Tribolium castaneum: one gene and its partner. The protein of the gene in region 2 interacts with the protein of the main gene of each other region in a biochemical or structural test. Links are inferred from orthologs where the notes say so. Each region holds a gene or a part of one and is shown on either strand. Other genes may lie near its edges. The genes, in order: cpx and synaptosomal-associated protein 25.

Region 1 (3,828 bases), on a different chromosome or scaffold from region 2:
TATGCTTAGAGTACGAAATTTTGAACTTTAATGAATATGGAAATATGATATTGACACGGAATTTTATGGATATATATTTAGAGCGCTGTATTTCTATATTCGACAGTTAAAATAAAAAAAAAATTGAAATTACTTAGCAAAAAAGTCGTAACTACAAAAAATATTTCTTAAAGAAACTTAAACAAATGAGAGCTAGATATTAGCATAATAAATTACCGAAAATGCAATAAAAAGAACTTATACAATGCTTATACACGGTCTTGTACATATAGGGTGCTAATATGTATGGATACAGCCACATTTTTTTATTAAAATGTGTTCTTTTTCAATTAAAAGTGTTATTTTTTTCTATAACAGATGTTAAACTATTACTTTATCGACTTTTTTGAGTAGATAAAATAGCACTTAACTGCAAATGTAGATAAAATATTTTAAATTTTTTTATTCAATTAAATTTACAAATTCCAACATCTGAATTTAAAAAATTTGTAAGGTTACCAATAACTTTTTTTTCTTAAACTTGCTCTTGCTATAGAAAAAATATTGTATTATACACGACGATAAAGTTGTCCACTCGTGACTTCATCACTCTTGATCTTAACCTTTTCACTCGTAGATAAACAATCCCTTTATTGTCTTAGGGTCGGTTTCACCGTTGTAGAATAAATCCAGAGAAACGATTGTTATAATCATAGCAACGATTATTTTTAACTATTTATTAAATTTAACCAACGCTGATGAAACCGACCCTTATGCAATAAATAACTATTAACAGTTATTATTACCTTTTACTTATTTTTGGGTCAAAATTCAGCCGGCAACTGGCTTACATTCGATAAAGATAAAAATTCTAAAGCTAGAAAAATTTTATTAGTTCGATAATTTTTTTTAATAAGGTATGTACGTGTTCACAGAACTCAGAAAAAAAAGGTTCTTAAAAATATAAAATTTGAACTTTCTTGCCATTTAAAAAAAATCAAGTTAGTCTTGTATCCACAAAACACATGGAGATTAAAATTTTATAAACATCTGAGACGACAGAACTAAAATGATTACTTTTAAGCACATACCAAAACTCATTTAGTTTTGTTGAATAATTTTTATAATATTTGACTGTATCCATTCATGTTTAACCATGGGGTTGAACAGAATTTTTGGGAAAAATTAGAGCAAGAATTTTCCGTAAAAGTTGCAAGCATTTCCGCGGCATCAGCGAATGCCAGCAAAATGTCTTAAGTGGGTCACCTGACCAGCGACAACTAAGCAATAACAATAATGTGTTTAAAATTTAAATGGACAAATTATTATTGAAATTAACATTGTTTTAGAGTAACTGTTCTAGTTTGTAAGTAAATTTAGTGTATATTCAAATTATTTTTGTAATAAAATCAGTATGAACTTAATTCCGAGTTCTACTCATTCACAAATACAATATAGACATTTTTATTTTTGGGACAAATTGTACCAAACAATTAAACAATTGTCCGGCAATATCTTTTTAAATGTTTTCAAGAGTTCTTGTTTTTTTCCAAGAATACACCATTCGGTCTGTTTTTGTGAGCGAGTTATTTGAAGTTGTAGTTTTTTTTTAATTTTAAAGTAAAAAATGTAATTCGATAGATTCTTTATCCAATCCACTCCTAATTTTAGCTTTTTCACACTATACGTTAGCCATGTCGCGTAAATACAGGCTAAAAGCTTAATTTTTGTTAATTTGTACTGCCTGAGCTGAAAGTTATATTTTCTATTTTCTTATAGCATAGAGTTACATGCCCTAAGTCCTGAAAAAAATTTGAAAAATGGAACACCTCACGTTTCCGAAATATTTAATTAATAATACTTATCTAAATACTTATTTTGTACCTCGATTTTTTTTTGTATCAAATATCAAATATGTGGTTCGTAGAAATGTTAATTACAAGTACTTACTACACATTAAGATTGTATTATTTGGACTATTTAACATAATTTGAGTTCTTTATTAGGTTTCTCATTTATTTATACAATTTCTTGAGATACGAGTTTCTTGCCAATAAGTAATTTAGTGAAATCTCTTTAAATTTAACTATGCGTTTTCCCGTGTTAAAATTTTAAAAACGTCTACAAAAGTAGTGTGACTAACTGCTAATGCGCTTAGCAGGGCAGTTTATACATATACTTTTGTGTAAATTTATGTAAATTTTAGAATCCAAAGAATTACTTCAATTATTATCCCATTTTAAATCCACAACAAAAAAAACCTCCTTCGTCGCAAAATACATTAAATATAAACCCAACCGTGTATTTTGAAAGAAACCGTACATGGTACTAGGATTATTTTGCAAATTTGGGATCAGGTTGCATTATTCCTGGAATGGCTATCCAGGAGGTAGTGAATTTTGCGCATAAACTCGGCCTTTGTGCATGAAGTGTATCTTGACTGGAGCATTGTGGCAATGATTCGTCGGTTTCAGGAGCGGTCGGTGGCGATGACGACGGCGACGACAAAGAAAAGGAGGAGGAGGCCGAGCGGGAGCGGCTGGAAGCCATCCGCGAGGCTGAGGAGCGACGAAAGGAAAAACACAGGAAAATGGAGGAAGAAAGGGAAAAGATGAGACAAGAAATCAGGGACAAGGTCAGTGCAAACGATCGATTTTTCGAATTGTCGTGATTTATATCAAATGACACACGATTAATCAACGCCCGGTGTATTGTACGCGTGAGTTAACGAGCCGTGAGGAGTCGCATGATGTATCTGCGGTTGTCACGTCTGACCCCTTCATAATTCCATAATGGGAATTATCGAAATGTCAACTCGATCGACATCGATCCGGAGGAAAAAACGCGCCGGCCTTGGCCCGGAACGAGAATAACTCCGGTTTAAATGTTAGCCGGGCACGCCCGGAATGCGATTCCTTATCGCAATTTTTGAGCAGTTAAACGGCGTGCCGCCGACGCTACCATTATTGACAGTCTATTTGTTCGGTTATAATACGCGTAATCAGCTTTGTGTCGTGATTATTGCAAATTGCTTAATGTGCCTGAAGAGGAACAAGTCGCAAATTAATTAATCGATTTGTAAACTAATTCGAGTTTTGATTCTAGACCGGCGCATCCACCATTTTACATATTAGCGTACTTTGCACTTTATATTACCCGACATACATTACAGTTGCTTTCCTTGAGCGCTATGCAGCGGAATACAGTCCAAAAATGCAACTTGTATGCCGGCTTTTTCTGTTGTAATATCAGTTGTTTACCAAAACTTTAACAAACAAAAAGTGTGATACGGAAGAGGGGAACAAACAAAAAGGAATAATACAAAAATTTTCTTTTATAAATATTAGACCAGAAGTTTCGGATCGACTATTGTCAAGTTCTCAACTCTTGGAAGTTATAATTTTGTGCAAGAAAATCTATTTTAATGCACTTTTCGCGAAAAACTCCGTCTATTTGCATTACTCGGATTAGTTTACATATTAAAGTTTATCATGGAATTGAGAGTGTTTATTTTTAAAAATAGAACCCAAGCACTTTCCATTTACATATTGCGAAAGTTTGTTCCTTATGTAACTGTACGTATAGTCACGAGCGTAGAGAATGACACCCTTGTGAACTGGGCTGAGCTTAAATCGCAACCACAAATAATAATTTAGACTTTATTATTTTATTTTGTTTCGAATATTATAAAAAATACTTGGTGGCTGTTAGTGGAAATATAGGTCGTAAAAAATGATTCTTCTTAATTTGCAACGTTTCGACAACAGCCGTTATTCTTAGCTCCACGTTTTGAACCGATACTTTTGAATCAAAATTTCGTTTAACTTACTGGCATTCAAGAGAAATTCT
Region 2 (4,628 bases):
TTTATTACTATCATCGATTGAATGCCAAATGACTAAGAAGCTTGTCTATTTTGCTAAGACAATAAATTAAAATGCATCTTCAGTCACTTCACCAAGATGCTTTGAGCATTTCGATGACGTAACGTCTTTATCATTTCTTATTAATTAAATATCACTCGTCCATCTTAACACTATCAAAAAACTAGCACTAAAACTTAAATACTGTACATAATTAAAAACAGAAACTTTTAAATAATGGAAGATGTCAGGACAAAAATATTCACACCCGTTTGGGAACAATTTGGATATGACTAATCACAGTGATTGCATTTTAACTAGAAAAAAAGGCTGCATGCCTTTCAGGCTTCCGGTCCTGTTCCCCTAACAATTTTTTATAAACTGTTCCAAACATCAACAAAAACAATTCGTTCTGAACTCGCCCCCAACAAATCAATTTTTGATAGTTTCGAAACTGAGCTAACCGACAGGGCAAGTTCCTTGTGATTCTAGTGCATATACCAACAATATATACAGTTACAGCGACAACCTTATGTACAATGTGGACTCAACAACTTCAATCTTCCAAAAAAACTCACATCACATTTAGTAGGTATATGAATACTTGGTACAAGTTATGTACTAGAGCTAAGTAAGCGCCGGCAATTAGCACCACACCTTGAGAAAATCGCATAAGTAACATCCGTTTTTTCCTGCATGAACTGGGATTTAATCCAAGAAGAGTGCAAATTTTGTGCTTCATCCTAACTAGACAGTTTCACAAAGAGCTAATACGTGTATGTTAAGCGTTCACAAGTGTACGAAATGAGCATAATTAGGAACGTAATTCATTGCATCATATCGCTAAATTAATTTAGAAAAATCGAGATATTAAACGGCTAGCTCTACTGGATGCAGCAATAACCGGCCATGACTTTTTAAATATTAACTATTACATTATAATGATGTTATAGTAATACTCGTAAACTAGTAACACTAAGCCATAACATTGAGAATTGATAGAAGAGTATAAAAGGCGACTTGTGTCCCACTCCCCTTAGGACTTGAGGAGTTTGTTGGCACGCTGGTTTGCCACTGCAATGCGCGTTTCGTTGCTTTCACCCTAACCAACAAACATATAACCAGTGTGCCCCATCACAAAAAACTACAGCCCAACCTGATCCGGCCCCACACTAATAAAACAAGCGCAAATTGCGTCAAAACAACCAAAAACGGTTAATTTCGTTTCTTAAAGTTTCTCCAATTGTAGAAAAATAACAGGAACGGATCAGGCTTGCAATCAAAGTCTGTAAAAATATTAGTGTTTTTGTGTTGTGTGTCTACTTGAGGAGATCGTGGGCACGCTGATTGGCCACCTCTATCCTTGTTGCATTGGACTCGCCCTGATTCGGACCATTAGTAGGTAATGTACGAGTAGATGTAGTGTCGTGAAGTGAACGGCAATGTAAACAAACAACACCAAGATTATTAAAATTCACAAGCAAATCCATCAGAAAATTATTCGTAAATGCTAGCGCAAATCGGCAGAAGCTTTTTGAAAAAAATAAAACGAAAATATTTAGAAACCAATCAAAGAGTGCATTTAACGCTCCAGTGCTCGCAAATAAACACCCCACTGGTTCAAAAAGCTCGACGCGCCAGGCGAGGCTGCTCAAACTCACAACCACAAAAATTTCATTTTTATTTGTCTAGTAAAACAAACAACCATTAAATGGGTCATTTGGAAAAGAAAACATGCCCTTTTTTCTGTGATTTCCTTCTCTTTGCAAGCGGCCTTATTTTAATTATCATTTGTATAGTGTTTGAAACCCTTTTAGCAAAATTAGTATTTGATTATGTTGAAAACTTATATTTGTGGACATGTTGCCGTTTCCAAATTACTGGTTCAGTGCTTCTTATTTGAGAAACCCCCCCTCCAAGTTCGTAACTAACATACTTACCACCGTTAGCGTTTAATTAAATTAAGATAAAATCCAGTGCTAGCACAATATCGAACGAAAACTTGTAAAAATCGGCCGTAGTTACCTTGAGATTGATACGATCGACCTGTCTGTTTTGATTCTCCAACTCTGAGCCCATGTCGATGGCCATGTTGCGCAAATTTCCGATCATGGTATTAACCTGTCCCATGTTTTCTTCCATTTCTTCCTCGCGTGCGTCGTTTGTGATACGTCCGATGTATCCTCCCTGCGGCCCAAGACCGTTGCGATCGTCCATCATTCTCTGCGGCTGATTATTCACGACTTTTCCGTCGTCGTTACCCTTCCAAGTGCCTTCGTCCTCTTTAAACGACGACCCTCTGCGATAAAATAAAACAAATCTCGTGTCGTATACAAATCTAGATCGCCTGAAGGACTCACTTCTGACATGGTAAAACGCACAGTCCGCAACATTTTTCCATCCCCGTGAGGTTCTTTTCGGCTTCTCGCATATCGGCGTTGATTTGGTCCATGCCATCCTCGATACGGTCCAGTTGCTCTGCGCAATATCGACTTCAATAAGCATTTGGACGAGTCCGAGGCGATTTAGCACATTAACTCGCTATAGTTTGAAATGTGTATGCGTTTGATGTGTGTGTCAGAGTTGGAACAAACCGCATGCACATGCCACTATTCTACTCGGGAATCCCCGAATCCAGGTCAGGGACTCGGTTAATGCACTACAGTTCTAGATGTTTTAGTAAGCAGACTAGTATTCAGTAAAATTCATGCTACTCGAGATGTTTATAAGAACGACCTGAGCTGGGAAATATAATAAGAGAACTGACAGTGTGAAATATACACGTTTAACGGTTATGTGAGTTAGTGTTAACTTACTTCGACAGTGTTAATCCTTCATGTATGTTGTTGTCTTTGAATCATGTATTATATTATCCATTACAACGTTATTTTTATTGATGAAGGTTCACGCTGAAGTGCTTTCGTTTCGAGACATTCGAGTAAAATTTTTATAATGTAGGTAAATTTTAAGAGACGAAAGCATTTCAACTGCTGACTGTACTTCATTGATTTGTTTTGGACACGTTTCAGTTTTAGGAGGATATGGGAAAGTTGTGCAGGACGATTTGGGTACACATTTCCTTACTTATCCGTCCCTCGAATCGTTTTATTTTACGCCCGGCTGGCTGCTGTCGTTCGATTTTTAAGCGCCTCCGTGCGATAAATATTTTAGAATTCCACATATTTCATAAAAAACAAACAGTACGAGAACAATAAATAAATTAAACACCGTATTGACATTTTTTTTAAATAAAAAATGCTCCTTAATTATTCACTAAAATATTTCCCGAGGATGTCGGGTTTTTAGCAAACAATAAATAAAAAATATTCTTAGTAAAGTTCAATAATGCGTCCAAATCCAATCCAATAACCCTCTGGACAATTTAGGAAGTAGTTCAAGCGAAAATGTATGCCTGGAGAGGAAGTTAGAAACTTCTTCGAGCATAAATCAAACACAAACTCCTATTGAAATCGAGCATTTAATTAACGGCCTTCAATTATTAACTACCGGCTTTTTTGTAATCCTCTCGCCCTGCACAACTAAGAGACTGTGTCATAAATCTGTATCGTCAGGTAAGATTGGGAGGGCAAAAGTTCAACTGAGAATGTCGTGTGGTTCGGATCTAAGGAGTGAGAATTGTTCAGTTAATTGTGGGTGAATTGGAATATAAAGAGAGACACAGCGAGACTAGATAGTATGCTTACCGCCCTGTTCATCCAGCATGACCAGGGTTTTCATCCCGACCTCGTGGCTCTACAAACATCAAGACAATCAGCTTGGTAACCTGCGTCCGTTCTCACCATGTTCTCCCCGTTAAATAAGTGAGTCAGTTGGGCGAACACAAGCTAATGTGTTAGCCCGACTGGCGTTGTTAGTCCCTTCGACACCTATAGATAAGTTAATCCACCAAACAGAGACCTGTTAGCCCACCACAGGTGTAAAAAATGAAAACAAACTCAACACGGTCTTTGCGAGAAAGAGCGCATTGCAATTAAATCCCCAATAAAGCAATGGTTAATCAACACCTGGACACTTCGAGTGCTTACCGCCTTGATGGTGGAGCATTTCCATAGTCTTGGCGCCGGCATCGGTACTCTACAACATCACAGTGGCTAGTAGCATACTTACACGACAATACACAGCACACCACTAAACCACAACACCCAGATAAATATCAAAAAAGATGTGGAATGAAGCAGAATAACACACAAGTAGTGAAAGCAGTAAGACAAGCTAAAGCCACCATAGCATGCAAAACGTGTGGGAATGCAAAATGTATATCAGTCTGTATCCATGTAAAATACATCACATTTAAAATGATGATGGATGGCGCCACAGCTCGTGACTTAAGTCACAGCCGTGCGTGAATATGATGAGGTATACACAAAAATTTGAGTCACAATGACGGATCTTGGGTTAAATGATATTTGGGTTAAGTATGATAGAGTGAGTGGAGAGAGACTCACCTCCCTGGTCATCAAGAGCGACCAAGGTTCGGATTCCAGCCTCCTTGCTCTACAGCAGCACAAAACAAGTGTACACTGTTTGTTAGTATAGATGTTAAGTGGTACACGCCCGCTACAGATAAGCACTCAGTATATTATTTGTTCAGTTCGAAGAGATAGAGAAGA

Evidence for each region.
Region 1: the proteins of synaptosomal-associated protein 25 (region 2) and cpx are reported together in a solved structure, tested with the Homo sapiens proteins (2 studies listed by BioGRID, with this or other methods). The link is inferred for Tribolium castaneum from reciprocal best matches to the Homo sapiens genes SNAP25 and CPLX1.

Annotation. Positions count from the first base shown.
Region 1 is NC_087395.1:18,246,969-18,250,796, forward strand, and holds part of cpx (complexin), read left to right. Parts: intron 1-2,453; coding exon 2,454-2,614; intron 2,615-3,828. UniProt on the Homo sapiens protein: Positively regulates a late step in exocytosis of various cytoplasmic vesicles, such as synaptic vesicles and other secretory vesicles.
Region 2 is NC_087396.1:11,305,162-11,309,789, reverse strand, and holds part of synaptosomal-associated protein 25, read right to left. Parts: intron 4,513-4,628; coding exon of another isoform or gene 4,464-4,512; intron 4,093-4,463; coding exon 4,044-4,092; intron 3,751-4,043; coding exon 3,702-3,750; intron 2,476-3,701; coding exon 2,358-2,475; intron 2,297-2,357; coding exon 2,023-2,296; intron 1,380-2,022; coding exon of another isoform or gene 1,317-1,379; exon of another isoform or gene 1,100-1,316; coding exon 1,034-1,099; 3' UTR 1-1,033.